Macaca mulatta: one gene and its partners. The protein of the gene in region 3 purifies or fractionates together with the protein of the main gene of each other region. This does not show direct contact. Links are inferred from orthologs where the notes say so. Each region holds a gene or a part of one and is shown on either strand. Other genes may lie near its edges. The genes, in order: CTNNB1, EP300, SMAD2, USP15, SP1, SMARCA4 and TRIM33.

What was found.
Region 1: the proteins of SMAD2 (region 3) and CTNNB1 purify together in Homo sapiens (affinity purification with western blotting; 5 studies listed by BioGRID, with this or other methods). This does not show direct contact. The link is inferred for Macaca mulatta from reciprocal best matches to the Homo sapiens genes SMAD2 and CTNNB1.
Region 2: the proteins of SMAD2 (region 3) and EP300 purify together in Homo sapiens (affinity purification with western blotting; 4 studies listed by BioGRID). This does not show direct contact. The link is inferred for Macaca mulatta from reciprocal best matches to the Homo sapiens genes SMAD2 and EP300.
Region 4: the proteins of SMAD2 (region 3) and USP15 purify together in Homo sapiens (affinity purification with western blotting; 4 studies listed by BioGRID). This does not show direct contact. The link is inferred for Macaca mulatta from reciprocal best matches to the Homo sapiens genes SMAD2 and USP15.
Region 5: the proteins of SMAD2 (region 3) and SP1 purify together in Homo sapiens (affinity purification with western blotting; 3 studies listed by BioGRID). This does not show direct contact. The link is inferred for Macaca mulatta from reciprocal best matches to the Homo sapiens genes SMAD2 and SP1.
Region 6: the proteins of SMAD2 (region 3) and SMARCA4 purify together in Homo sapiens (affinity purification with mass spectrometry; 3 studies listed by BioGRID, with this or other methods). This does not show direct contact. The link is inferred for Macaca mulatta from reciprocal best matches to the Homo sapiens genes SMAD2 and SMARCA4.
Region 7: the proteins of SMAD2 (region 3) and TRIM33 purify together in Homo sapiens (affinity purification with western blotting; 7 studies listed by BioGRID and IntAct, with this or other methods). This does not show direct contact. The link is inferred for Macaca mulatta from reciprocal best matches to the Homo sapiens genes SMAD2 and TRIM33.

What each region holds. Positions count from the first base shown.
Region 1 is NC_133407.1:104,579,201-104,583,246, reverse strand, and holds the end of CTNNB1 (catenin beta-1), read right to left. Parts: intron 3,036-4,046; coding exon 2,975-3,035; intron 1,919-2,974; coding exon 1,710-1,918; 3' UTR 1,698-1,709; exon of another isoform or gene 1,393-1,697; 3' UTR 614-1,392; downstream 1-613. UniProt on the Homo sapiens protein: Key downstream component of the canonical Wnt signaling pathway.
Region 2 is NC_133415.1:10,336,828-10,339,725, forward strand, and holds the end of EP300 (histone acetyltransferase p300), read right to left. Parts: coding exon 1,827-2,898; 3' UTR 716-1,826; downstream 1-715. UniProt on the Homo sapiens protein: Functions as a histone acetyltransferase and regulates transcription via chromatin remodeling. Acetylates all four core histones in nucleosomes. Histone acetylation gives an epigenetic tag for transcriptional activation.
Region 3 is NC_133423.1:44,427,754-44,432,436, reverse strand, and holds the start of SMAD2 (mothers against decapentaplegic homolog 2), read right to left. Parts: upstream 3,176-4,683; 5' UTR 2,997-3,175; intron 1-2,996. UniProt on the Homo sapiens protein: Receptor-regulated SMAD (R-SMAD) that is an intracellular signal transducer and transcriptional modulator activated by TGF-beta (transforming growth factor) and activin type 1 receptor kinases.
Region 4 is NC_133416.1:69,672,082-69,676,130, reverse strand, and holds part of USP15 (ubiquitin carboxyl-terminal hydrolase 15), read right to left. Parts: intron 1,894-4,049; exon of another isoform or gene 1,809-1,893; intron 1,537-1,808; coding exon 1,363-1,536; intron 1-1,362. UniProt on the Homo sapiens protein: Hydrolase that removes conjugated ubiquitin from target proteins and regulates various pathways such as the TGF-beta receptor signaling, NF-kappa-B and RNF41/NRDP1-PRKN pathways.
Region 5 is NC_133416.1:60,525,720-60,530,423, reverse strand, and holds the start of SP1 (transcription factor Sp1), read right to left. Parts: upstream 3,138-4,704; 5' UTR 3,099-3,137; coding exon 3,092-3,098; intron 2,588-3,091; exon of another isoform or gene 2,391-2,587; coding exon of another isoform or gene 2,309-2,390; intron 1,752-2,308; coding exon 1,594-1,751; intron 1,299-1,593; coding exon 1-1,298. UniProt on the Homo sapiens protein: Transcription factor that can activate or repress transcription in response to physiological and pathological stimuli.
Region 6 is NC_133424.1:11,772,385-11,776,433, forward strand, and holds part of SMARCA4 (SWI/SNF-related matrix-associated actin-dependent regulator of chromatin subfamily A member 4), read left to right. Parts: intron 1-360; coding exon 361-588; intron 589-839; coding exon 840-938; intron 939-1,195; coding exon 1,196-1,273; intron 1,274-1,985; coding exon 1,986-2,204; intron 2,205-4,049. UniProt on the Homo sapiens protein: ATPase involved in transcriptional activation and repression of select genes by chromatin remodeling (alteration of DNA-nucleosome topology).
Region 7 is NC_133406.1:125,857,409-125,861,457, reverse strand, and holds part of TRIM33 (E3 ubiquitin-protein ligase TRIM33), read right to left. Parts: intron 3,443-4,049; coding exon 3,319-3,442; intron 1,986-3,318; coding exon 1,911-1,985; intron 138-1,910; coding exon 1-137. UniProt on the Homo sapiens protein: Acts as an E3 ubiquitin-protein ligase. Promotes SMAD4 ubiquitination, nuclear exclusion and degradation via the ubiquitin proteasome pathway. According to PubMed:16751102, does not promote a decrease in the level of endogenous SMAD4.

The DNA of each region.
Region 1 (4,046 bases), on a different chromosome or scaffold from region 3:
GAAACAGCTCTCCCTAAAGACAAAACACTTTCACTTTTTATAAGAAGACCAAAACAAGTCTTAACAGGTCTACCTGAAGAGATGAACTAAGCTTGTAAGACCTACCACCAGGATGACTGATAGGATCATCTGGCAGATAGATAGTGTGGAAGGCTCATTCTGGTTCTGATTATGTTCAGATAAACATCATCACTTAAACCTATTTAATTATTAGTTCAAAGTAGAGTTGAAGGAATTCCCCTCTCCCAATGAGTCACACTTGTGTGAAGGTGATTCAAATCCAAATCCAGGTAGTTAATATTTCATTACCTTAATGGAATCAAACCATCGGGGAGATTGGGGTAGAGAGAGATAGATGATAGACAGTCTGCTTGGCTTTCTCCCACAAAAGCCCAGAACTAATCACAATGTGCAAGGCTGAAACACGTTTTTGGGGGTGCAATGTAACCCAGGGCCAAATGCTGAAGAAACTTGGCAAATTGCATCTAGAGAAGGGCCTCTCTATCGCTATAACAAATTACTTCACTATGTATCTTCCTCAGTATAAAGTTGAGTTGGATAAACTTACCACCCTCACCATTTAATGACAAGAAAAAAAAAGAGTGACACAATCGAATGAATTAAAAGTTTAATTCTGAACCATTTTTTATAACCGCATTTTCTCTTGAAGCATTGTATCACAGCAGGTTACAACAACTTTGGGATAAAAGGCAACTGGTAAACTGTCCAAAACAAGGTTCCAAATAACACCTCTTACTGATTTACCCTACCCATACATATCCCAAATAAAGTTTTTGATCAAAAACATGAAATAGATCCACCTGCTTATTTTAAGCATATTAAAAAGGAAACTAATTGGACCATTTTCTATTTGTCTATTTTATACAAAAAGGCTACACAATGTTACACTTTATTCAGATTACAATTATTAGAGTGATTATGAATTAGTGTTCTACACCATTACTCAATTCTTAAAAATTAGAAATTGCTGTAGCAGTATTCACTATAACTTAACACTACGAGAGACTTAAACTAACAGTTACTGCAAAAAAAAAAAAAAAAAAAAAATTAAAGAGCTACTTCAAAGCAAGCAAAGTCAGTACCATTACAGATATTAAAAAAAAAAAAAATTTAACAAGCAAGGCTAGGGTTTGATAAATTCCATCTTGTGATCCATTCTTGTGCATTCTTCACTTCTTGAGTCACTCCCAAAATCCATTTGTATTGTTACTCCTCGACCAAAAAGGACCAGAACAAAAAGTTTACTTCAATTGTTCCCATAGGAAACTCAGCTTGGTTAGTGTGTCAGGCACTTTCTGAGATACCAGCCCACCCCTCGAGCCCTCTCAGCAACTCTACAGGCCAATCACAATGCAAGTTCAGACAATACAGCTGTATAAAGAGAGAAAGGCTGCTATTAATGTTTAAAACAGCAAATGTTACTCATTTGAGTATTAAGTTGCAAAAGCTGTGGCAAAAAACATTAAAGTTAATAACTTCCACACATGATCACATAACAACCAGAAATCTGAGAACATTCCGATGTTCCAAGACATCTCCTTTCAAAGTATATACCTGTTTTTGTGGCAGATTTACAAATAGCCTAAATCACTCCCACCCTACCAACCAAGTCTTTCTGAAATTCTGTAGGCAGAGTAAAAGTATTTTACCCAAACTGGCTTTTTAAAACTTCTTACCTAAAGGATGATTTACAGGTCAGTATCAAACCAGGCCAGCTGATTGCTATCACCTGGAGGCAGCCCATCCATGAGGTCCTGGGCATGTCCCAGATCTGGCAGCCCATCAACTGGATAGTCAGCACCAGGGTGGTGGCCACCCATCTCATGTTCCATCATGGGGTCCATACCCAAGGCATCCTGGCCATATCCACCAGAGTGAAAAGAACGATAGCTAGGATCTAGAAGAGTCAGGGTATGAACAAAATAGGCAAGAAGGAAGGCAAAAGAGAGAGGAGAGAAACAGACATAGACATTAACACTGAGGTTAGGGCATCCAAAGTTCAGCAGCAAACTTGTCAGAAAACAATGCTTTCTAGCCTCTTCAACTTCTAGCTTTTTTTAGCCAAGTAATTACTCAGTGCCAGACCACCCATGAGACTACACAAATAACGTCTGTTTCCATCAGAGAGGCACACCAGCAGGGCCTAGTCACATCATTAGTCTAACCCTGAACACACTGCATTTACCCCTGTCAGACTTGGGGTTCCCAAGAAGGAGAAGCAGGAATCTACTGTGTGACCACCTAGGCAATGAGAACTCATGGGAAGGAGGATTAAGACAATAATGAGGTCTGGCAGGTGTAATCTATCTTGACAAAAAGTCCAAGTGACACCAACAAAAGTACTAAGGAAAGTTAAGGCACTATTTCAATGAAACCTCAACATATTTTATCTTAGGGTTGACATGTTATTTGTCACAGTAAGAATCTGCGCTTTAGTGGTTTCATAATTAGGTAGAAGCAGATGAGGTTATAAATGTAAGACAGTTGTAACTGTTACTGGTCTACCCCATCCTCTATGTTCATTACCCAGATGTGAATTCGCTTTTCAAGAAAACCCTGATAATGCAACTATGTAAAAACCCACCCCAGATCTGAGCCTAGAGACAGGAGTTTTCCTGTCTTCCTTGGGTAGCTTGTAGACAAAAGGTATTATGAGTCCTCTGGCCAAAAAGAGAATAAAAAGCCAGGTAAACTGTAACATCCTACACTGCAGAGGCCTAGTAGTAGCATGTATTTGTTGGTGGTGTAATCCTATTGCTATTCATTGTGTGGCTCTGAATTCCCTGTGCTCCGTTAAAGATACTGTTGCTGACTGGAATTTAAGAACTGCTTTTAATTGAAGCCATTACTTTTCTGCCAACACTAGTTTCCCAGATGAGCAAACCAGCTCTTCTGATCAAGTTTTAGAACTTTAGCTTGATCTGGAGTTAATCGAGAAATATGAGACGCATACCATCCTGGCGATATCCAAGGGGTTCTCCCTGGGCACCAATATCAAGTCCAAGATCCGCAGTCTAGATAAACAGGCACAAGGCAAGAAAGAATAAAAAGCAAAATGAAAATTCTCAACTTAAAAGTACACTAATTTTTTTAAAGCATACTTTCAGATTACAAAGGAAACAAGTAACTCCAACATTACACAAATACTTAGAAAATGGAAGTTCTTCAAAACTCCACCCCTCAAAGATACATTTTTTTCTCTTTGCACCTCACATTAAAAATACTCACTGACTTGATCTTTCAACAAATACATATTAAGCACCAACTATGTGCTGCCAGGCACTGTTCTACGTGCTAGAGATATAGCAGTTAAAAAAAAAAAAAACAGGCAAAATGCCTACCCCCAAACAGGAGCTGCTGACAGGATGTGTTGTATGAAAGAAAAGTTTTAGCCTGAGCAGCTGGACAGACAAAGCTGACATCAAGACAGAGAAGACAGTCAAAACAGGTTTGTGGAAGGGGGTAGGTGGAGAAAGTTAAGGGCTCAAGTTGGAACATGTTAATAAGATGCCTATTAAAAACCCAAGTAACACACCACTCACTGGTAATTTGCTCTCCTTTATTTATTTATTTTTTTTTTGAGTTGGAGTCTGGCTCTGTTGCTGAGTGCAGTCTGTTAACTCCTGGGTTCAAGCAATCCTCCTGTCCCAGCCTCCCCAGTAGCTAGGACTATAGGCATCCATCCCCATGCCCAGCTAATTTTTAAATTTTTTTTGTAGAGATGGGGTTTCACTATGTTGCCCAGGCTGATCTTGAACTCCTGGCCTCAAGAGCTGCATCGTTTTAAACCTAATAATCTCTCTTTCCATTCGCTCAACAAATATAATCCACTGTTATGACTGTGTACCATCAGTGATCACTACAGAGTGGATAAAATAAACTTCCAGGGTGGTTCTAGTTTTATTAGAAACAATGTTTCAAAGGACACCTGTACTGAGGACAAATACTGAAGACAAATTCATAGCAGAAAGTCAAATAGAAAAGTTTTATTAAAGTTTAGTAAAAACTACTGACAAACTGTCCTC
Region 2 (2,898 bases), on a different chromosome or scaffold from region 3:
TGAGCCACCGCGCCTGGCCTCCAACTAACTTCTTAGTATGCAGTTATTAAACAGGAGTGTTCCCCTAGCTTCTTCTTTTTTTGTTTTTAAAGGATGGAGTCTTGCTCTGTCGCTCAGGCTGTAGTGGTGCGACCTTGGCTCACTGCAACCTCCACCTCCAGAAGTCTAGAAATTCTCCTGCCTCAGCCTCCCAAGTAGCTACAGGTGCCTGCCACCATGCCCTGCTGATTTTTACATTTTTAGTAGAGATGGGGGTTTCACCATATTGGCAAGGCTGGTCTTGGAACTCCTGTCCTCATGATCTGCCCGCCTTGGCCTCCCAAGGTGTTGGGATTATAGGCATGAGCCACCGTGCCTGGCAAGTCTTGTTTTTTTCAAGAAGTTACTTGGGACTTAGGCAGGTATGATCCGTTGTCTTAGGTCCTCCTCCTCATCCCTGTAAGATGGTGATTAGAAGACCATGTGGTCATCCTTAAGCGATCCTGTATCAAGGTGTTAAGTAGGTATCACTTCCACCTTGACTGTTAGCTGGTACCTGCAGTACTTTTTCCCAGAACTTTGGACAAATTAACCAAGATCTACTTGTGAAAAACTGTATGTAGTAAAGAGGCTATAAGCTAATGCTTTCACTTTTTCCTCTGAATCCTAAGCACCGGGCACTTAAACTGGTGCACACCAAGACAAAGATGTGTTATCAAGTGAAACAAAGTCAGGGTGTCTGTCTCACACAGTTTATTTAACAATAGGTAATAAGAAATCAAATTTAACAGTCTATACAGTGATCCAAAGTTCATATTTATAAGTAATCAACTTTAATTGCATGATTTACAACAGTTGAGGGTTTTTGCTCTCTATTTTCAAGTTTTATAGAAAGTGTGTGTGTGTGTGTGTGTGTGTGTGTGTGTGAGTGGGGGTAGGGTAAGGAAGAAGAAAGCAAGCAAAGAAACCCCCAGGGACATTTTGCATGTTAAAATCATCCCACCGGAATCGTTTCTTACCCTCTTTTTAATTTTTTTCCTTTGTTAGATGTAAAAATAACGAAAAAAATTCTTTCAAGAAACAGAAACCACAATATATAATACATCAATTTGGCAGCTGCCCCTGTATATTTTTGAAAAAGTCATTTTTCTCTCTACATGTACAAATTATTTTAATACTTGAAGTTTTACGCTCAGACTTACAGAATAGAAAATTTTCTGGAGCACAAAAGTTGACTTGAGGGGAAGAAAGGGAGTTTTTTTTTTTTTTTTAAACGTTTTTTAAAAGAATGAACATCTTTGCACCCAGAGAAAAAAAATTGGTATTTTAATATATATTTATATATATTTATATATATATATAGAATGTAATTTTAAAGTAACATTAACCCCTTTTGTCCTCTGGTTTTAGAAATGTTTTAACTCTTCCATAAAGTGAGGAAAATAGGGAAAAATGTCAACCATCTGCACCAGTAAATAATAACTATTAATATTACATATTTTCATTAATTTAAAAAAAATAATAAAACCTATTGGAGGTGCAAGGCAGGAGCATATTGTTTGGCTTCACAGGCCTCAGCCTCCTCCCAGTGCACACTTGAACCACACACACAAGGGGAAAAAAAAGGCTGGTGGTAACCAGCCATAACAAAAATATATTCTTTGTATTCTATCATCCCTCAGGTTCATCTTGCATGTTTGCTTTAAACCACAAACGGCTACTGCACAGTTCTTATATGTTCCAAGGAAAATTGTCTTTTAGGCTATGAAAGATTCAAAAAAATTGTTTTCAGTACAAAAAGTCTTAAGAGAAAATAATTTTTGCTCCCAAAATACTACAAGGTGTCTCTAGTGTATGTCTAGTGTACTCTGTGAGAGGTTTGAATTCAAGTCTGAGTTATCGGTGCTGAGTCCCAGGTCTGTGGCGCTTGCACCATGGAGGTTTGCCATGCCTGGATTGCTAGCAAGCTGAGAAAGCATTGAATTCTGGTCCGGGCTGGCAAAATGCCCTTGTTCCATGGGGTTGGCCTGGGCAGCTACCAGTCCAGGATGCGGGGAACTTGTCTGTGGGGAAACGTGGTGTGGAGAAGGCTGAGGCTGCATCCTTGGAGAAGGGCTGGAGTGGGGGGGCTGGGACTGTGGCCGTGGAGAAGGGACAGGCTGCGGAGAGCGCACTTGATTGGAGAGAGAATTAGGGATCTGCTGGCCTTGTAGGTGTGGAGACTGGGCCTGATTTGGGAGCATATGCTGCTGGGGGCTCATGGGGTTGGGCTGAGCAGGAGATCCCATCTGTTGCTGAAGGAGTCGCTGCTGATAGGCCTGTAGACTGGCACCTGCCTCTGCTCCCAAGGCCTGGGGGAGCTGGCCCATCTGTCCCATATTTCCTTGTTGCATCTGTTGCATGTGATGTTGCATCCGCTGCTGCTGCTGTGGTGGGTAGCCAACTCCTTGGGGTTGCTGGAACTGGTTATGGTTAGCCATTCCTGGGCCTATTCCTGGCCCTGCTCCCTGTTGCTGCTGCTGTTGCATCATCTGTTGTCGTCTCAAGATGTCTCGGAATTGTGAAGGCATGGTGTTGTGGTTCATGTTCATCTGCTGAGACTGGGGGCTCATCCCTCCCATGGGCGGCTGGAGTTGCTGCTGGGGTTGCTGCTGGGGCAGGCCAGCCCTCTGGACGCCCGCCTGCATTGGATTCATGTTCTGCATGGCTGGATTGGAGTGGACCCCCTGCTGACCTGGCATGGTAGGTGGCTGCAGCCCTGGCTGCCCCTGGGGCATGCCAGGCTGCCCAGGGATGGGTTGTGGATTAGAGTTGGCATACTTGGCAGCCCGCTGCTTGATGAATGCAGCCAACAGCTGGGGGTTGGCGTGAAGGATACTAAGCACCTGTTGCTGCTGTAGGGGAGAGCTGGGAGACCTG
Region 3 (4,683 bases):
TTCCAAAACCCACTACACGAGACTGCTGTCCAATCCTGAGTCTCGGTTTAACTACCTGTTTTTACACTTTATTCCTGATCCTTCCACTGGAACCTGAGTTATTCAACTTTGCTTTCTTTCCTTAACCAGTTTCTGTAACTAAAGGGCAATAAGTGATCAAATTAAGGTCAGATGAAGCTTAGCTCTACAAGTGTACATCTGTTCAGCAATAAACACGTTTCTGAAAGACTGGTTGTATCTTCAGTTTGTATAAGCTGTGTAAAACTGGTGACAATTGTTCCCAGTGACACTGAGTTAACACTTCACATCTTCCCTAGTGCTATCCGTTACATGTGATAGGAAGCAAGGCAAGCATACTTTAGGAATGGCTCAGTAATGCATGTGCCCCTGATTTGTACACTAACAACTGTCTTACTCTGAACACTGGAGAATTGGGCAAAGGACATGAGTTTCCACTTTTCTAACTCCATTAAGGAACAGGGGTGTACTTGTTTGCTGGTAAGATACTTTATTGCCTAGTCCAGAGCCTGACACACAGAGAAAGCTGTTTATTGCTACTTGCTCAATACAAGTTATTTGTTGAAAATAAATGCACAACCTCTCCTAAACTGGTTTTAAATTCTTTACGTTTCACATTTTCTGACATACCTTTGGAATACTTAGTGGAAAACATCTTACCTCTTACAGAAACTATGGGCCTAAAAATGACTCTTCTACACCCATCAAAAGGCTAGGAATCTAAAAGACATGTCCCCCTCCACCCTCTAAAAATGACTCTTTGTCCCAAGAATATGAATAAATCTCCATCTGCCAGGCTGCACTAAATACAGCTTTTATATGCATTACAAAAACACCTGTATTTAAAGCTGCTACAAAAGGAGGTTTTTGGAGCCCTAAAGCACAAAACCAACAGAATCAAAACCAAAAAAGAATAAGGAAAGTCTTTTAAAACTGACAGTATTTGCAAAATGTAAAAATTCAATAGGTCTTTGCCCAACAGTTTACACAGCTAAACTGAGCTTTTCCATTCACATATATTCCCCCAAAGGTGAAGTAACCAGATTATAGCAACATGATTCTAATATTTACAATGTGAAAATGAAAAGGTGACAACCACCTCTGGCCATCTTGAAGTAGAATAGAAACAACCTTTGTTTCTATCAAAGAGAAGTTTTGTTGAAATACACAAAACCATCCCCAATATTCCTACACCAGAGTTAAAACACATACCAAGCCTGGTAAGTCACAAACAACAAGAAATTACCCTGCACAGTTTCTTAAAAGACTATTATTTCACGAAGCGTACAGACTGTGTAGAGACATGACCACTTATGACTAAGTAAACGTAGGTTACAACCTTGAAAAACCAAACTTTTGTTGAACACCTACAATGCTTGTGGCCGCACTTAAGAAGGTGTGGCTAAGTATAAAAACCAAGCTCTAAGAGCATTTTCTTACTAAAACCCCCAAAATCAACGTTTCCAATCACGTTACATTAAACCTGGCCAGTGAACTGCCTTGAACTCAATTAAATCCAATAGAATTTAGTATTTATAGTAAAAGTGGGTACACTCTTTACAAATGCCAAAAGATGTGAACTATTTATATTTACTACCAAAGCTCAGTTTACGGCAAAGGGTAAGGAACTTTAAAAATAAAAGTATTACTTTTGAATTTAATATAAACGTCTGCTAAATGACCTTCTGGCAGAGGAAATTCTTTAAATATCTTGTATGGGTTTTCCGAAGGCAAACTTTTTAAAAACCCTCAAACTATGGTATATTTATGAAGCTCATTTTAAATTATTTCTTCCATCTCTGCTTCACTAATTCATGTATTAAAACTGTTGAAACTCCATTTAACAATTTAACTTCTCTGTAAGATAGAAACTTTTTTAACGGGGGTTAAAGTAGAATAGCAAATTTTCAGCATAAGAGCAAATTTATTATTAGGCTAAAGGAAAACATCCTATCAGCGATTCATTCATACGAAACTATCAGGTTCAATTCATATGAAGTCAGAAGAGAGAAAAAGAATTTTGGAAATTCACATCGCAAAGATATTTCTAAAAAGATGTAACTATTCCAAGTTATTTACTTATTAACAATTATTTTACACATGACATTTTAAAAGTTTCACACACCCAAATTTAAGATAGTCCAAATTGTAACAAACAAGACATGACTTTGATAGAAAATGCTGCTTGCAAACTCGTTTTCCCTGGAGATTTCTTTTTAAAAGATATGGTTGACAATACACTGGTGGTATTTTGCTTTTAAAGTGTTATGAGGAAGGAATAACAAAACCAACCCAGGTATTTTCTGTTTAGGATCAAAAGGAAATCGTAAGGATAAATAAAAGACAAAAAAGGGCCTGACCCAAGGACAGTATCCCCCTCCAAGAGAACAAAGTAAGTTGCAATTTTGAAAACCAAGTTTGAAATAAAAGAAATCACTTCGAGGGCTTTTCCAAAAGCGGGTGATAAAAACTAATAGGCTCCACCCGCAGAACTTTCACAAGTGAGTGAAGGATGATCACAGTTATCAGCTGTGTGCGTGTTTGTGAGTACACACAAGCCATGGAAAACCCGAGACTACTATGGTTAACAAAGGTTACCGGACCAAAAAAAAAAAAAGTGGAGGCAAAGTATTACGCGCCCCTAACAAGGCTTCCCCACAACTCCTGAAACAAGAGCTCTGGCCCTTCGGCTTTAAAAATCAGAACCACAAACTATGGAGTGTTAGAGCCGCGAGGGGAAGGGACGCAGGCAGCCCCCACCCCCGCCAGGCTGGGCGGCAGCGCCGGGCCGCCGAGCACCGTACCTCCCCGGCTCTCTGGCCCCGAACCCGCACGCCCGGGCCGGCGCACCCACAGCCCCCGAACTCACCACACCCCAGCCCCCACCCGCCGCGGCCATGTGACACAGCCCATCGCCCGGGCCGCGGACGCACGCAAACACACCCCTAGCCGGAGGCCCGCGGGCGCTCAGGCTTTACCTGCACGGTGGCGCCAGGTCCCGCCCCGTCAGATCCAGGGGGTCCGGGACCTTTTGTTCCTTCCTCTTCCGATGGGATGGAGGGGGCTGGGAGGGGAACAGGGGAATGGGCGATTGGAGGCGGAACTGAAAACACTCCCGGCCGCCGTCTTCCCGCCCCGCCCCCAGGCCCGGGCCCGGCCGCTTGCCCCGGCGCGCGGGAGGGTAGAGGGTAGAGGGAGGGTAGAGGGAGGGGAGGGAGGGGAGGGGAGGGGAGGGGACGGAGCCTGGCCGCCGCCCGCGGGGAAGGAGGGGGTGAGGACGCGCGCGCCCGCGCTGCCCCTCCTCCCCTCAGGCGCGCGTCCGCAGCCCTACCGGCCGCCCGCACGGCCGCGCCCTCCACCGCCAGCCCACCTCCGCTTCCGCCCTCCGCCCTCGGCCGCCGGCCGCCGCGGCGCCACGCACCCACCTCCCGGCGGCTGGCGGGCTGCTGGCTGGCGAGCTGCTCCTCCGCCGCCGCGGCCGCGCGGGTAGACCCGCCTGCCACCCTGGGCCGCGGGCCCCGCCGATTCGCCAGCGCAGCCCCGGGGCTGGCACCCTGCCGCCCGCTGATTGGCGCCTCCAGCCGCCCGTTAGGGCGCGAGGCACGCCGGCCGAAAGCCGCGCGGGGCGGGCACGGAAGACGGAGGGAGCGGAGGAGGAAAGGAACGAGGCCGAGGGCCGCGGGCAGGGCCGGGGGGCGAGCAGGGCGCGGGGAGTCGCCGGCCACCGCCTCCCCACCTCCCTTTGCCTACGGCCCGCCCCGCCTCCCGGCCGGACCGGCGGCGCCCGCAGCCAATCAGCACGCGGGGAGCTCGGGGTGTGAGCCGCGCATCGGGGGCCTCGAATCGGAAGGGAGACGTCGCTCGCTGATTGGTCCCGCCTCCCCAGTCTAGCGTGAGGCGAGGCGAGGCGGGGCGCGGCCGGGCGGGGCTGGACGCCCGCGGTTTCGCTTGAGTTGGACTCCTGCGCGCTCCCACCGGAGTTCGGGGGCGGCGGGGGAAAGGCCTGCGCCCTGCCGCGCGGGAAGACGATTCCCGGCGACCGCCCGATCCCTCGCCAGCGTCGTGGGGTAGGGCCTGTGGGGGCCTGCCGCTTCGTCCACAGTCCGTCGTGAGGCCGGCAGCGGACACGTGCTCATCCCACTGGGAGGCCCCGGGCAGCCCGGAGGACGCGCCTAGGAGAGAAAGGGGGTTTGGGAGAAGCCCGAGGACCCGTCCCGCGACTGGGCGCGCCCTATGCAAATGAATGGGCGGGGCCCTCGTGCTGCTGAACGAGGGTAGGTTCGCGATGTAAATAAGCCCAGAGGTGGAGTCTTTGGAGAGCACTTAGGGCCCGGGTAGGGGATGCCAGATCTAAGTGTTTAACCTAAATCTTGGTTCCGTCTTCAGTAAAAATGATATCAATAATCCACGTCCCGAAGGGTCTGTGAAGTCTAAAAGAAAGGCATGTCATAATGTCCTCTAATGGCTGGGATATCTTCCCTTCCTCTTTTCTCCCGTTGCGGCGTTTAGGCCCCAGCTTGGGCATCTGCCCTACAGGAGGCAGCAAGGCCCTAAACTTACCACAGACCAGGGCATAACCGCACCCAGGGAAAACCTTGTTGCTTTTACCCTTAGGAGCACCCAGGTCTCTGCTGACAAAATATTGAGCCCAACTAATCACATCAG
Region 4 (4,049 bases), on a different chromosome or scaffold from region 3:
ATCCTTATATATAAAAATGTATTGATCTTTGGTCATAGATTTCATTGTCATTAATTGTTGTTTCACTATTTGTCAAAGGATTTTCCAGATGTTCTTAATTCTTAGCTTTAGGTATTCCTATTGCCTCCTCCTGTAAATGTCTGGTAGGTAGATAGTAAGAGGCAGGTTCTCATCCTTGCTGTATTACCACATAAAGATAATCACGTATCTGAAAGCATTTTTAAGATAACTACTCTAGGCTCTCACTTAGTTTTTATGTGCAAAAGGAGGATGAGTCTTATAGAGAGAACAGAAACATTAATGTTCATATTCAATTTTCCAAATCTTTGCATCACTATTTTTTTTTGGATGAGACTGAAAATAAATCTAATAGTACGAATCATCATGTGACAGAAAAAACTCACATAAGTCAAGAACCTATTTACACATAATTTCAAGACAGAAAATCTACCAAAACAAAACCAATTAGAAAGATGGGAAAGAGCTGAGAGATGGTTTGTCTGGACTAGTATGTCCAAAGTTTAGAATGTTAAGGAAGACAAATACAGAGGTATTTTGATTTGCTGGTTGTTTTTTATTTTCTAAGAACTAGTATATAGCTAATAAAAAATGTTGTCTAGTAGATGTCCTATATCAATGCCATTTAAATTACTTGTATAAATAACAACTTAAAATTGCTTATTCTCTTTACAAGTTTAAAATTTCTCAAAGTTTCACCTATATAGTTAAGTAGGAATTTTTTTAACAACATAAAGCTAAATTTCAGCCATAAAGCTTAATTTCAGCTCAGTTCTTATTTGAACAATAAATACCTTGATAAGTAACAATTCACACATGTGAATAACCTTAAAAGTTTAAGAACCATATTGAAAGTACACTTAATTTTTAGTGCTTGGTTTGCAGACAATTTTCATTTTGATAATTTTTCAAATTCATGACTCTCAAAGTAAAATGGGTTCTTAAGAGTTCAGTAACGCCCAAATTTAGTCTTTCACATTTGTATAGAATATTCACGTAGGTTTTCCAGAGATGTACTATATTCCAAAACAACTATACAAACGCTCATTGCTGTCTCCATAATCATTCTTGTACCACACCAGTGTTTTTCAACTTTTTTTCATTATTCTCCCCATCCCAGATTTAGACGTAAAACAAAAACAAAAACAAAACGGATAAAACTCTTCCATATCCCTCCCACCTAAATTTTATACCACAGATATATTGTATATCTATTTATGTACTGTATTCCTTTGGAGGGCCACAAACCATTGTAATAGCTACTATTTTTCACTCCCCCTACCCCAAGAACCAACCTTTGTACCCTTGTAGGTGCCCTTGCTAAAATGCATTTATCACACTTACCTTAAAGGCTCTTGGGGTGACGTAGCTAAACTTTCCAGACCACATTTGCTTGATCAGTTCGGCATAAGATTTAGCTATTTCACCTCTCATTCCTAAGGGATTGTCAAAATTCAGTTCTTCTTGATACTTATCATTGAGGAAATACTCAGTAAGTGGAGGTGTGTTGCTCAAACACTGCAAAAAATAAAACATATTTTCAAGTAAAAGTAACCATACTTCATTTTTCTTAAAACACATTAAAAAGAAGAGAGAAACAAATTGATTTGCTATAATACATAGAGAACATTTAAATGATGGTTCCTTGCACTAATAACTGGTCAAATAAACACTCAAATGATGTACTCAACTATTCATTTCCCAAATTTCAAAATAATTACTTATAATAAATAAAAATGCTAGTATCTGCTGCTGTAAAGTCTGCATTAATTTTAACCACAGCAAACTACCTGGTAACTGGGAGAGAAGCTCAGTTTTCTTTCCTTCTTTTACTTGATTGGTAGAAATTATGGATTGTCTACTCATCCCAGGCACCTGCAAATTAGCCTGAGTAGGTAAAAACTGAGATAGAGTGCAAGCAAGAAATTAACTTAATAGAGGTATTTACTGCTTCCATTGTCAATTATTTCTCATGAAAGAGCAGCCTTTAAACCTTCCTTTTGGTCAACCATTTTTAGAAGAGACAGTACAGATTACTTGAGCCTGAGAAAATAAACTTCAGTATGTGAACTCTGGTAAGTGTGTTCTCACTTCCAGCTCTTCTTTAATGTCATAAACAATGCAATTTTCCTTTATGGCAAAATAAAAACTATAAACAAGTTAATTGTCTCTTTCCAATTCTGAATTAAATAATTTCATATTTAATATAAAACAGATGGCAGAAGTACAATTTTTCCACATTTTATCTCAAGTTGGAATAATTTTAAGGTGACGATCCATATGATTTGACCTCAATACAAACCCAGTATTATCAACTAGATGTCTATAATATGCAATGACTAACACAGACATATGGTCACATAAGTAAATTTTTTTTTGCTGTAGGAAGATATTTGTGTTGGAATTAAGTGGCAAGGTGCTGCAAGGAAGCTAGCTGCTTGCATGGAAAATAGTAGAAACTCACTTTTATGAGAGCCTGGGTTCACATTAATGGAAATCAAAGTTTTTTGAAGCTTGCTTATAGTCATCTGTATTAAGTTAGATAGGTTTGGTAGGTATGAAAAGTTCAGTCTGTTGAATTCATACAGATAACTTATATGCCATAAACTACGACTATATACTATGCATTGTTTAGCTAAAATTTCAAAATATGCAGTCACTGTCTACTTAGTTTTTAAAAATAATTGTGGTACTCAATTTCGTGGTTTCAATTATAAATCAACATGTTTACTGAAGTAGCCAATAATATCTATTTAGAAACTTTCTATATAATAAAAATAATAATGTTTATTATAAATTGCTAGCCTGGCCCCTACCTCACGGCAAAAGGGAGAACTGGTTATATCATGGAATTTACGATTATATTATTCTTAGGCAATTAAAATAATAAAAACAGCTAAAACGTTTGGAGTGAGCTATATAGGCCTTTAGAGTCATATACATATTTTCAGCAGTAGAACTTTTTAATATATGTGAGCAAGAGAAACAAAGGTATGCTACAGTGTAGGAGGCAATTAAGAGAAAGGATGCTTCCCTAACTTTCTACCTCTTAGATCTCAACCTATCTCATAATCTTATACTCCTTTTGAGTTTCAGTTTCTTTTCTTCTTTTGTAGTATATGTCCTTTTAATTATAAACCCAGCACTAGAGGGAGGTCCAGGCAATTTAGAATGGTAAATGCCATCACTTAGTATCATCTGATTTAGTACAAAATATGATCAACATTAAATAGTCAGACAAAAGAGAGGTCAGACAGGAATTTCCAACAATTACCAATAGTTTTCCACTTCTTATATTTGATCAGCTCAGGGTTATGCTAAGAATATAACATTCCATTATTGTCTGTTAATGCAATTATATAAAGAACCTAATTTACAAATATCTCAAAAGAACCAAGTTGCGCAAACCTGAGTAATTCTTAAACTTTGTTATTACTGAATTATTCACACATACTCTTATCCTGGAAAGAGCTTACAGGTATAACTGAACATTTTTTAGCTTTCCAATAGTATCCAGAGTGATCTCCCTAAAATGTACATCTCATCATGTTGCTTCCTTGCTGTAAATCCTTTTATGGCTCTCCCCGCTTACAGACTGGAAGCCCAGATTCTTAGAAGGGTCTGTCTTCTGCTCATCTATGTAGCCTCATCCTTTGTCAATACTCTTTTCTTTTCAACTCTTCCAGCTTTATTTAATTAGTCATTCCTCCACATGTTCTCTCACTCTGAAAGTTTGCAACATTACTCCATCTACTTGGAAATGTACTTTTTTTTTGGCCTTACTAACTTCTATAAATCCATCAAGATTCTAGTATCCTATCTGGGAAGCCTCCCTTAGATTTCCTTATAGTGTTTTCTCCTGTATGTTTCCTTAATGCTTACTACTTACTTTTATTATAGCACTTATCTGATAATATACTGTAACTTTAATTTTTAGTTTGTTTTGCCAAATGAACTGAGACCTCCATGAAAGGAGGTACCAGGGTATTCTTATTTATATTGCCAGCACTGAGCACTATGTCACCTGTCAC
Region 5 (4,704 bases), on a different chromosome or scaffold from region 3:
ATTGGGGCTAAGGTGATTGTCTGGGCTTGTGGGTTCTGAACTTGGAGGTTCTGCAGCTGTAGAGTCTGCCAACTGACCTGTCCGTTGGGCCCCACTGTTGGTGTCCGGATGATGATGGGACCAGAGTTTGGAACAGCCTGAAGCTGGAGGTTCTGGAGGGTTTCTTGGGAGATAGCTTGAGTTGTAAAGGTCTGCCCTGACAATGGTGCTGCTTGGAGGGCCTGGAGGGCCTGTCCCCCTTGAACTAGCTGAGGCTGGATAAGAATTTGTTGCTGCTGTGTCTGCTGGTTTTGCTCTCCTTCTTTTTGCTGACCTGCTTGCAGTGAGCCTCCAGATGTCTGGTTTTGCTGGATGTTCAGAGCATCAGACCCCTGTAGCCCACTGACCCTCTGGGGTGTCTGGCCTTGAGAGTTGGTCCCTGATGATCCACTGGTAGTAAAGTTCATAATTCCCATGTTGCTGGTGGTAGTAGTAGTTGAGTAGCTATTGGCATTGGTAAAAAAGGAGCTGGAACTGGCTTGTGATGACACCAAGCTGGCAGAACTGATGGTAGTCCCTGAGGTGACAGGCTGTGAGCCGCTCTCCTGGGACCCAGAGCTGCTGATGGTGACTGCCTGAGAGCTGGGAGTCAAGGTAGCTGCAGAAACGCTGTTGACAGGTAGCAAGGTGATGTTCCCATTCAGGGCCACTGGTACATTGGTCACATACTGAGTCTGTCCTGAGAGTACATTATTAGCCAGGCCTTGGAGGGGGACAGCCTGCTGGAGTAGATTTGGCATAGCAGCAATGATGTTGCCTCCACTTCCTCGATTTGTGATAATCTGTTGGTTTGCACCTGGTATGATCTGTATTTGACCAGAACCATCCTGCTGCACTTGGGCCCCAGTGGCAGCAAACTGCAGCTGTTGCCCATCAACGGTCTGGAACTGTGGGATTACTTGATACTGAATATTAGGCATCACTCCAGGTAGTCCTGTCAGAACTTGCTGGTTCTGTAAGTTGGGAGTGGCAGCCACAACATACTGCCCACCAGAGACTGTGCGATTCTTGGAAGACTCACTGCCATTGCTGCCATTGGTACTGCTGCCACTCTGTTCCTTTGAGGTAGGGGTAGCCCCAGAGGAGGAAGAGATGATCTGCCAGCCATTGGCACCCTGTGAAAGTTGTGTGGCTGTGAGGTCAAGCTCACCTGTTCCCCCTGACTGACTCGGGCCCTGGGAGTTGTTGCTGTTCTCATTGGGTGACTCAATTCTGCTGCAAGTTGCTGCCAGCAGAGCCAAAGGGGATGGCTGGGACTCCTGGCCAAAAATAAGGGAGAGGAAAGGAGTTAGTGACACCCAGCTGCCAGCCTAGGGGGCAGTATACAACAAATAAACAGCAACGTAGTGCAGACAAGGAGCAAAAAACAGAAACAAAAAGCTGACCTATCTGTATTGCTGAAACTCCTGTCTTTGGGGATCTCCATACTCTTACTTCTTATCTATAAAATGGTTTTGATAAGCTCCCTAAAAAGCTTTCTATGAAGAGTAAGGCAATTATCTAAGAATATTTACATCCTCTCAACATCTTCCCCACTCTATTATTATCACTTACCTGCCCTCCTCCTCCTCCACTGCTGCTGCTACTGCCTGTGCTGCTACTTCGAGCCTGTGAAAAGGCACCACCACCATTACCACTGCCCCCATTATTGCCACCAACTCCTTTTTCAATCTTCACCACAGCTGTCATTTCATCCATGGAGTGATCTTGGTCTAAAACAATTAAAAAACAAACAACTTAAACTTGAGGGAAGAAAAGAGATGAGGTAGGAAGGATAAAAGGAGGCTATGATGAAATAGCAATGACTAACAGGAAGGCGAAAGGCGCCAGTATAAAGAAAATGGATTGGAGGGCAGAGGGGAGCTGCAGGGCATGCAGGACATGAACTAGGCTCAATGGTGCCAAAAGTGGGCCTCAATTCTCCCTTACACAAAATTAACTAAGAAAACATTCAAAAAGTGCTTTGGGGATAGGAAATGTGAAGGATGGTAGTCATGCTGAAAGAGTTTCAAAATAAGAAAAAGTATCCTAAGGGAAAAAAGGACAAGTAAGGCAAAAAACAATATGTGGGTGGATGGAAAGATTGCTAAAATTAAGGTTAAAAGAGATGGAGAGGCCAGGCGCGGTGGTCATGCCTGTAATCCCAGTACTTTGAGACGCTGAGGCAGGAGGATCACCTGGGGTCAGGAGTTTGAGACCAGCCTGACCAACAAGGAGAAACCCCGTCCCCACTAAAAATACAAAATTAGCCGTGTGTGGTGGCGCATGCCTGTAATCCCAGCTACTCCCGGAGGCTGAGGCAGGAGAATCGCTTGAATCCGGGAGGTAGCAGTGAGCCGAGATCGCACCATTGCACTCCAGCCTGGGCGACAAGAGCGAAACTCCCTCTCAAAAAAAAAAGAGAGAGATAAACAAAAACCCAAGTATTAAAAGTAACAAGAGGAGAAGGGAAAAAGAAATAAAAAGTTTTAGTAGGAAAACATTTGTGAATACTACTAAGGAACTAAAGGGGTGTACTGGTTAGTAGTCAGGAGGTTTCGGGGCGGAGGGCGGGCCCTGAGGGAAAGGGCGGTTTCGGGGTGAGGGGCGTGGAAAGGGCGGGACGGTGGGGCGGGGGGAAGGGAAATCTACGGAAAGTGGGGGGAGGAGGGCGCCGGAGCAGGCGGCGACCAGAGGACGGACCAGACAAGCGGTTGGCCCGGGCGGGGCCTTCACTGCTCGGGCCGCCCCCGCGGCTCCAGCCCCCGGCGGGAGGAGCCTCAGGCGGGCGGCCGAGTAGTGGGGGGTAAGGCCCGTCCCCCGTGGCCGGGGCGGGCAGGGGGCGGGCGAGGCCACGCTGCCCCCTCCCCCGGGGCGGGCGGCCCATCCCCCTCCTCCTCGGAGGCCCAGCCACTGCCCCGTCTCCCTCCCTTCCCTCCGCCCCGGGCGGGACCTAGGCCGCCGCCGCCGCCTCCCGCCCGCCCCCCCTCACGGCGGGGATCGCCCGGTCGGCCCTCGCGCGCGCCCCCTCACTCGCCTCCCACCCCTAAGCTTGGAGTGGACTCATCCTTACCGCTCATGGTGGCAGCTGAGGGACAAGCTCAAGGGGGTCCTGTCCGGGGGGGTTGGGGGGGGCCGGGAAAAACGCGGACGCTGACGAGGCAAGCGAACCCGGACCGGACAGGGAGGGGGGGGTGAGGAGGAGGGAGCAGCGCGCCACCAGCCCAACCTATGCCCCGCCCCTTCTCTGCTGCCCCGCCCAATGAGGGAGGGGGAAAGGTGGGACTTGCAGAAGAAAGACGGTGAGGTTTTCCAATGGCAAGACTCGCTTGCTCTCTAAGGCGTGTAAGACTAAGTTGCGTGCCTGGTGTCCGCCCAAAAAGACAGCCCTCTCAGTGTTAAAAGCCAATGAAAGATGCAGGAAGTGAAGATGGGCGGGAGCTGGGGATTATTGGCTTGGAAGGAAACCAGTCAACCGGCAGGCGGGCTCCCTGAGACATTGGGATAGGGAAAGGTTTGATAGGAATGACAGAACAACGGCCAACTAGAATCCGGGATATGCTTGGGCAAAATCCTAGTGGGAGGAGAGGTAAGAAGTAGACAGGAATAGGATAGGCTGAAGCTGATTAAAACCAATCAGAAATCAGGCGGGCAGCCAGGAAAGTTATGATTGGATTAAGACTGAAAAAAGACAGGAAAGGACGCATATTGACGTGAATTAAAAGCCAATTAAACGCCAGATTAACTCTGAGGGCGGAAACTTGGAGTGGCAGAGGAGAATTGGCGGCTCCCTAAGTTATTCAATCCAATGAGGGAACGAAGTAAGCCTGGCACCGCCTCCTAGTTGGCCAATGGGCGTTACCGGAGCCGCCCATCATGAGGGAGGGAAGAGGGCTGTGCCAAGAGGAGACCGTCGCCATATTGGCCCACCTCAGGGGACGTTGTTACAGTCATTAGGTGGGACGCTTTAGTGAAGTCTTGCAGCTCAACAGGTGTCAGAGCCAAGGCATTCGGCGCGCAGTTCCGCATCAACACTAGGATTTGTTTGAGTCTTCATTTAACTGCCCCTATAAAGTACCTCTCAAATCTTACCCGTTTCCCGGGTGGGCGGACAGGCGGGCAGATACCTCAATGTCGCTGCAAGCCCTGCGAGTGCAGCCGGAACGGGATTTGGGGACAGCGCTCACCAAATAAGTTAATACTGAGCTGACCAATATGCAGAGTCTCCGTAAGATTCCAGAAAACGCCATTTTGTTAAGTTCCGCCAGACAAAGGCGCTAACCACTTACGACTGGTTAACTTTTCAAGCTTTGAGGCTAAAGTGCGGATAAGTCACTTCCATTTTTCCGAGTTAATAGTAAATACCGCCTATGCATAAAGCAAGATAGTTGAGCTCCTGCTTTTTGCAATCACGAAGGTTAAACTTTACTGCAGGCACCTGGATTTCTGGCCTCCTCTTTATCCGTGTTTTGGTGGAGCCGGCCTTGATAGCTTGTCAATGACACGATAAGGTCATGTCCTTCAGTATTTGTATCTTAAATGTTGTCGCTTGCTTGTATGTTCTTATGTTTTAAAATCTGAATTCTCCTATACTATTTTAAGCCCTTTGGAGTTAAGAACTGAGGCCTTGGCCGGGCGTGGTGGCTCAAGCCTGTAATCCCAGCACTTTGGGAGGCCGAGACGGGC
Region 6 (4,049 bases), on a different chromosome or scaffold from region 3:
CCTGTAAATGGTGCTCAACTGTGCAAGTCCACGCTGTGGGGAGCCATGCCGCTGCCACAGGAGCTGCTTGGGAATATAACCCCCTGGGGGTTGGTGCTTTCTTCCCGAGTATCTGTTGGGTCCCAGTAAGGTAGAAGGTGGCACTTCTGGAGGAACGTGATGAGAGCCCCCTTCCCCCCAGGGACACATGGGGCCCAGGCTCCACCAGCTCTGTCTTCGTGCAGCGGCAGATCAGGCTGGGCAGAATTGCCAGGCTGAGAGTGGTACTCACAACACACCTGTCCAGCTAGTATCGGAGGCCGCCTTCCCTTTTATGACCTCCTGGGCTCCTTTGGGATTGACTGGCACCTCCTCCCCCAGGACCTGCAAGCGCAGGACCGAGCCCACCGCATTGGGCAGCAGAACGAGGTGCGCGTGCTCCGCCTCTGCACAGTCAACAGCGTGGAGGAGAAGATCCTAGCCGCGGCCAAGTACAAGCTCAACGTGGACCAGAAGGTGATCCAGGCTGGCATGTTCGACCAGAAGTCCTCCAGCCACGAGCGGCGTGCCTTCTTGCAGGCCATCTTGGAGCATGAGGAGCAGGATGAGGTGAGCCCAGCGCCGGCCCCGACCCCTCCCCAGCGTGAATGGTGGACGCATGAGCGGCTTTCATTTTTGTTTTTTTACCTTTTTTGCACTCTTATTTTTTTTTGCATCCCTTTGGAGTAAAGGGAGTGTGGGCTGAACGGAAAGAGGATGAGTACTTGCTTTTTCTTTGAAGTGGTTTTTTTTTCCTAAACTGCTGGTAAAAGACGCCGGATTGACAGCCCTGGAGACTGAAGTCCTCTATTTATCCACAGAGCAGACACTGCAGCACGGGCAGCGGCAGTGCCAGCTTCGCCCACACTGCCCCTCCGCCAGCGGGCGTCAACCCCGACTTGGAGGAGCCACCTCTAAAGGTGAGAGGGGTAGTTCAGTCTCCATGCCCATTCAATCCTCGGCTTCTCGGCTGAGACGGCCAGCAAGGGCCCTGGTCCCACGGAGCGTGCGTGTGCGTGTGCGTGTGTGTGCCTTTCGCTGCCGTGTGGGTCCCCATCCACCGCAGCCGTGCCGGGACCACCAGCTCATTCCCACGGACGCCGCCGCTCACCTCTGAGCTTGGCAGCCGCCCACCCCGGCCCCTCCGCAGCGGCGCTGACAGTTTGCAATCTTGTAGGAGGAAGACGAGGTGCCTGACGACGAGACCGTCAACCAGATGATCGCCCGGCACGAGGAGGAGTTTGATCTGTTTATGGTAAGCACTGCGGGCTGGACAGGATGGTTCAGGCATCCCACCGTGCCGCCACCAGGAGCAAAGCAGAGGTCCTAGTGCCCATGGTGGTGTCCCCAGCAGGTCAGGGAACTGGGGACAGCTCACAGTGCAGCCCACTCATGCCTCCAGCCTGACCCTTCTTCCACCCCCAGTCTCCTGAGCATGGCGTCGGAGGGCAAGATGCACACCCAGCCATTCTGTGTGTGACCCTAGACCTGCCCCACCGGCTCTGTTTTCTAACGGGCTCTTCAGGGCTTCATGCACTCCCTTTCAGAGGGAGTTCGCCGTATCCAAGGCCAAGGGACTGACCAGACCTTCAGTTGCAGAGCCCCCTCGCCCCTGGGTGGGAAACAGGAAGTAAGGCAGCCAAGCAGGGGCCTCTTGGCCCGCAGGCCGTATGCCTCCACCGGCGCTGTGCCGCGCAGCTGCCGCCCTTCTGCTGGGGTCTGCAGCCCTCTTGTGCAACCTTCTATCTTTTCAAGTTTCCTCTACCTCCCGAGGCAGAGCCCCTAGTCAGGGTCGGACGTAGCCAGGCCGGGTCAGCCACCGAACAATGAAGAGCTGCTGTTTAACTCTTGCAGCAGCATGGGTCCCCACGGGCAGAGAAAGGCCCTTCTGAGCCCGGCGCTCTGGCTCTAGTGTGCCCCTGGTGCCCGCATGCTGATGCCTCTCCCTTTGCCTCCCTACCCACCAGCGCATGGACCTGGACCGCAGGCGCGAGGAGGCCCGCAACCCCAAGCGGAAGCCGCGCCTCATGGAGGAGGACGAGCTCCCTTCGTGGATCATCAAGGATGATGCGGAGGTGGAGCGCCTGACCTGTGAGGAGGAGGAGGAGAAGATGTTTGGCCGCGGCTCCCGCCACCGCAAGGAGGTGGACTACAGCGACTCACTGACAGAGAAGCAGTGGCTCAAGGTACATGCCGGAGAGGCCCGGCAGGCCCCGCAGGCCAGTGCCAGGCAGGGCTGGGGAGACAGAGGGCCCACCGCCAGGACTCAGGCCTGGGTCCAAAACGCTCCCCTTGGGCCACTCCTGGCCAGGCTCCGCGGACAGCCGAGAGCCTTCTGTTTTGGGCCAGGGATGGTTAGGTCCTTCTGGCTCCTCCTCAGAATGCAAGGAGGACCCATAGTTCCTGAGTAGCTCAAAACCTGCTGCTGGGTATGGTTGGTCTTTCAAGTACAAGGGTTTACCTCCTCCCGAGGTTAAAAATCATGTCGCTGATCTCAGTGGAGTGCTGGCTTTCCCAGTACCTGCCAGGAGGGAGGCACAAGGGTGAATCATGGACTATTGAGGCACCCTGCAAAGCGGTGCATTGCCGGCTCCAGGAAGCCTCACTTTGGGCAAGTCCCCCCCATGTGCTGGGGAGACTCAATCACAGGAAGGGAGGAGCGGGTAAGCCCCCAAGGGCCTCTGAACCTGGCAGGCGCTGCACAGGGCTGGCAGCTGCTTGTGGAGCTGACGTGAGGGCCATTTCTCAGCAGATGACACCTGGCCCTGCAACAGCAGCTACAGATGTCTGAGTCAGTCATGTGGTGCTCCTGGGACCGCCCCCGACCCACCCTTCCCAGCCTAAGGCACACTGTGACAGGTGCCTGGCACTGACGTCCTCACTGGGGTTACGGTGACAAATCAAACCCCTTCCCATCTCAGGGGCTCTGAGTTACGGAGATGATGATTCAGACTCCATCCATGAAGTTGTGTCATTAAAATGTCCTGAAGTAACAATTCCGAGAAGGCAGGTGGCGGCTTTTGGCTATGCTGTACAAAGTGCCATACCCAGGAATGAGCCATGTGGCCCAGCGCATGTAGCCAAGCAGCCCCAGGCTCCTCCTGGGACCTCAGCAGCCCAGACTCATGAGCTTGCCTGCCAAGCTGTGCACCAGAGGGCGCTGTTGAAACACACCAGGAGCCCAGGTCACAGGCCATCCTGTTCCCCAGCCAGCCTCCCGAGCAGAGCGCTCCGGGACCCAGAAGAGAAACCCTGAAAAGCCGGAGTGTGAGCCCTGCCGCAGACCTGTGTGACCGCAGAGCTGTCTGACTGCTGTATGAGTGTCACCGGCCCTGCATTTTTTTCTTTTTCAATAGAGACAAAGTCTTGCTATGTTGCCCAGGCTGGCCTCCAGTTCTTGGGGGGCTCAAGTGATCCTCACACCTCGGCCTCCTGAGTAGCTGGGACGACAGGTACACACCACCACGCCTGGCTAGTTTTAAATTTTTTGTAAAGTCAGGGTCTCACTGTGTCACCCAGGCTGGTCTCAAACTCCTGGGCTCAAGCAATCCACCCGCCTCGGCCTCCAGAGTAGCTGGGATTACAGGCATAAGCCACCACGACCGCCTCAGCCTTACATATTTGAGGCAGTGAGTGCCTTTTAAATTTAAGATCAGTTCATATGCGGATGCTCTATGTACACATTTTTCTAGGTGTAATTTACATACCATACAATTCACCCTTTTAGGGTATATGACACAGTCATCTTCAGTGTATCCAAGAGTTGTGCATCTATCACCACAGTCCATTTTAGGACATTCTCGTCACTCCCAAAGAAGCCTTGCCCCGATTTGCCATTTCCTGTTAATTCATTGATTCTCCCCAGCCCCAGGCAACCACTGATGTACTTTCTGTCCGTATAGTTTTGCCTGTTCTGGGCGTTTCCTGTCAGTGGAGTCCTACAGTGTAGGATGCTTTGGTGTCAGGCTTTTTTTCATACAACTTAACGTATTTACGCGTGATGCAGCAGGTGGTCGTGCTTCATTCTTTGA
Region 7 (4,049 bases), on a different chromosome or scaffold from region 3:
CAGTTCTTGAAGATCAAACGGACATCAGCCACAAAGTCATCTGGGATTTGGTAGTGTTGGGAATGTTTTTTCTGAAGCTTCTTTTTCACGGTGGATAAATCCATTGGTTTCTTTATAATTTTATAGTAGTTTGGTATCTAAAATAAGCAAATAATGGCAAATAAGAATTCTCCAAAAATGCCAAACTGTTTAATTTGAAAATGCATAGCATATTAATTTTAGGGGAAAAAAAGTTATTATAGAGCCAGCTGCTTGCAAATTTTGATACAGACATATGTACTTTACATCTTCATGAAAACCAAATCTTACGCAGAATATGTGCCAATCTTCATGGTTAGTCCAAGCCCCCAAAGTCCTACTTTTAATAGTAAGATTTGGAAAGAAAGCAATTAGCAAGGGTAACCAACCAGTAGCCTTGAGGCAACATTTGACTTATCAGAATTTTATGACTCCTCAAGAGTTTTTCTTTTTTTTTTTAAAAAGAAAATTTATAAAATATATTAATGTTACAATTAGAATATGATGTCTTTTGGAAGACATCACAGATAATATCATTTACATCACGAAATCTTGACTTAGTAACAGAGGAAGCAAGACTGTTAGCACGTAAGAAAAATTTACTAACTTTATTAATCATTTAGTGTTCATGCTAGGGAATTCTGGCCCCAACCCTGGCTAAAAATTTCTACCCTTGGGATAAAAGTAAAGTTAGAGAAGCTATTTTATTGATTGATTAATTGATTTCTGAGATGGCGTCTTGCTCTGTCGCCCAGGCTGGAGTGCGGTGGCGCCATGCTGGCTCACTGCAACCTCCAATCCCCTAGGTTCGGGCAATTATCCTGCCTCAGCCTCCCTAGCAGTTGGGATTACAGGCGTGCGCTACCACACCCGCCTAATGTTTGTATTTTTAGTAGAGAGGGGGTTTCACCATGTTGGCCAGGCTGGTCTTGAACTCCTGACCTCAAGTGATCTGCCGGCCAGGCCTCCCAAAATGATGGGATTACAGGCATGAGCCACCATGCCTGGCCAAGAAGCTATTTTAATGGCCCATAAAAAGAAAACATTTGAAAGTCATTTTCTACTTTAAAATCCCTGCACTTGAAGATGAGACAATTTTCCAGAAACAGATGATTACTGCTTGTACAAAACATCTTCCGTCTACGCCTTTTGTGATTTAAAATTCATTTCTCAGGCTACTCAGTAAACAAGTCAACTACCATTTAATACTCTCTAACAGGCCTGGTATGTAATAATGTACTATTCAACAACTGATGGCTAGTAATAAAATGTGTGTAGAATATTCTTATCCCACTTATTAGGCACCAAACACCTCTAATCTTCCATTTATTGTAGCATTTTAGAGCCTTTATCCCTTACAAAAGTCAATGACTATAGACTATGCTAAACACTTTACATAGGTTATCTTATATAACCCTCAGAACAACCCAATGAGGTAAGAAATGGTGTCAGAAAACTTGAGTCTTAGAGAGGTTGAGGAGCTTATTCCAGAAAGCTGAGGTGTAATACAAGCTTAGTGTAAGGCCAGAGCCTATATACTTTTTTCTTTTTTTTTTTTTGAGACAGTCTCCCTCTGTCACCCAGGCTGGAGTGCAGTGGTGTGATCTGACTCACTGCAAGCTCCGCCTCCGGGGTTCACGCCATTCTCCTGCCTCAGTCTTCGAAGCAGCTGGGACTACAGGCGCCCGCCACCGTGCCCGGCTAATTTTTTTGTATTTTTAGTAGAGACGGGGTTTCACCGTGGTCTCGATTTCATGACCTCGTGATCCACCCGCCTCAGCCTCCCAAAGTGCTGGGATTACAGGCGTGAGCCACCGCGCCCAACCGCCAGAGCCCATACCCTTAAGTATTATGAGACTTCCCCCACTGAGCTACTAAGGTAGGCAACTCACCGAAGCAGGAACAGGCTCCTGGAATTCAATACTTAATTCATGGCAATAGAGGTAAAGCAGAAGACGTTCACATTTCTGGCCCAAACAAGGAAAGGAAAGCACATGAAACATTTTTCTCCTAATAAAACATTCTCGAGAATGAGAACTATATCACAACAAAGTCTGATTACAACAAACTGAACACAAGCCCCCTGTTTATTAGATACTCAAGTAAATATGAACACCCAAAGAAAACTCCTGTGCTTCTCATTTTGTTTTCAGACTATCTTTGGTTCTACTTTAAATAAGAATGGAAGATAACTAAGGTAATTTATGGAAGGGAGTCACAAAAGCAACATCTAACACTTTGTGCAAAAATTTATAAATTACTTGGTAATAAATAAGTAAATAAATCATCACTGTTGCTCCTCATGGTAATTCCTTAGACAGGCAAGATAAATGTTGAAAGTTATTATCCCCTTTCTTCAAATGACTCCAGTCAGGTTCAAAATAAAAATGGCCTTCTCAATCTAACTCCAGAAACGTGTTTTTACCCAATCATGAGTAAACTGAGATGCATTTTACATTCACAGTCTTCTATTTATCTAAACTTCTTTTAATACAAGTCATACAAGTTTGTATACCCTAAACACGTATCTTGTCTTCACAGATAGTGGATGAGGGTTTTTGCAACTATATACACCAGAGTAGAGCCAAACTTAACTCTAATGACCGCATGACAATGCAAAAGATTCTGTCTTTGGAAATCAGACTACAGGCCAGATTGGTAAAATTCTGAGTAAAGTAAGGAAAGAGTTTCCATTTTTAATATGATGAGAAGCTATCAGAGAATTTTAAGCAAGGAAATGATAGACTTGTTTACTTTTTAAAAGAACGCTGTTTAATACAGAAAACAGACTATAAAGATCAAGAGCAGAAGCGAGGAGAGCAGTTAAGAGATAATTACAATAGTCCAGATGAGAAATTACGATGTCTGTCTAGAATGGTAATGGTGGGAAAAGGTGAGAAAATGGTATTATAGTTGTTATTATTTCATTTCTAATAGGTTTCTAACCTGAGCAACAGAAATGAATGGTGGTATCATTCAATTAAGGGGAATACTGGGGGAGGAATACACTTTTTTATGTTGTTATTTGCTTGGTTTTGTGTTTGGAAGGAGAGGATTAGAAATTAAGATTTTAGTTGGGACATCTTAAGTTTGAGGAATCCGGATAGAAGGGTCTGTAGTTCAGGGTTAGAGAAAAAAAGACTTCAGAGATCATCAATATACCATCAGATGACAGGATTAAAAATTAAATGTTACCAGGTTTTGTGTATGCTACACAGGAAAAAAAAAAAAAAAAAAAGATGTATATATAGGCAGACCACTACTGAATCCCAGTGATAAACCAACTTATTTGACACTTACCCTTTGGTCCACGGGGCTTAACCCCTGTGCAGTTTTCCCCTTCTTACTATGTTGCAAATTATCACAATCGTATTCAACTTCTGGCTTTCCAATATCTCTACAAAATGTGCATATCCAGTCCCCACTAGACAGGGAAATAGGTAATTAGTCCACGTAATTATAAAAAAAGCCTGCTCTAGAGAAGCTACTTCCCTAGACAGGGCCCTGGTTTATTTTCTTAATAATTTTTTGGAAAAAGGGAGGTTTTATAGTTGTGAAATCTCATCAGGTGAAGTCATGTGATTAAAAACTCCTCTAAACTTTCCTAGTCACGCATCAATTGATTACTTTCTGGAATGCATTATAAAAATGGCATCTCTGCATTAAAAGGGGGTCTCTAAGTAGTGATGAGCAGTACTTGCAGCATAAGGCCTAAGACCAACTCTCCCAGGTCCCAGTATCACCATTATGTAGACTCAGTATTTATGAATAAGAAGAGCACGGGTTACAGAGTTTCTCAGGTATCTTGTACCGTTTTGGCATGTATTAAAATGCCAAAAGTAAATCAGTTGTTTTTTCATGGTCAAAACCTAGAACACACACACACATACCTACAGGCACAAGCACATGTATATATACCTTCTTTTTTTTCAGAGACAGAATCTCCCCCTCGCCCAGGCTGGAGTGCAGTGGCACAATCTTGGTTCACTGCAACCTCTGCCTCTCGGGTTAAAGCGATTCTTGTACCTCAG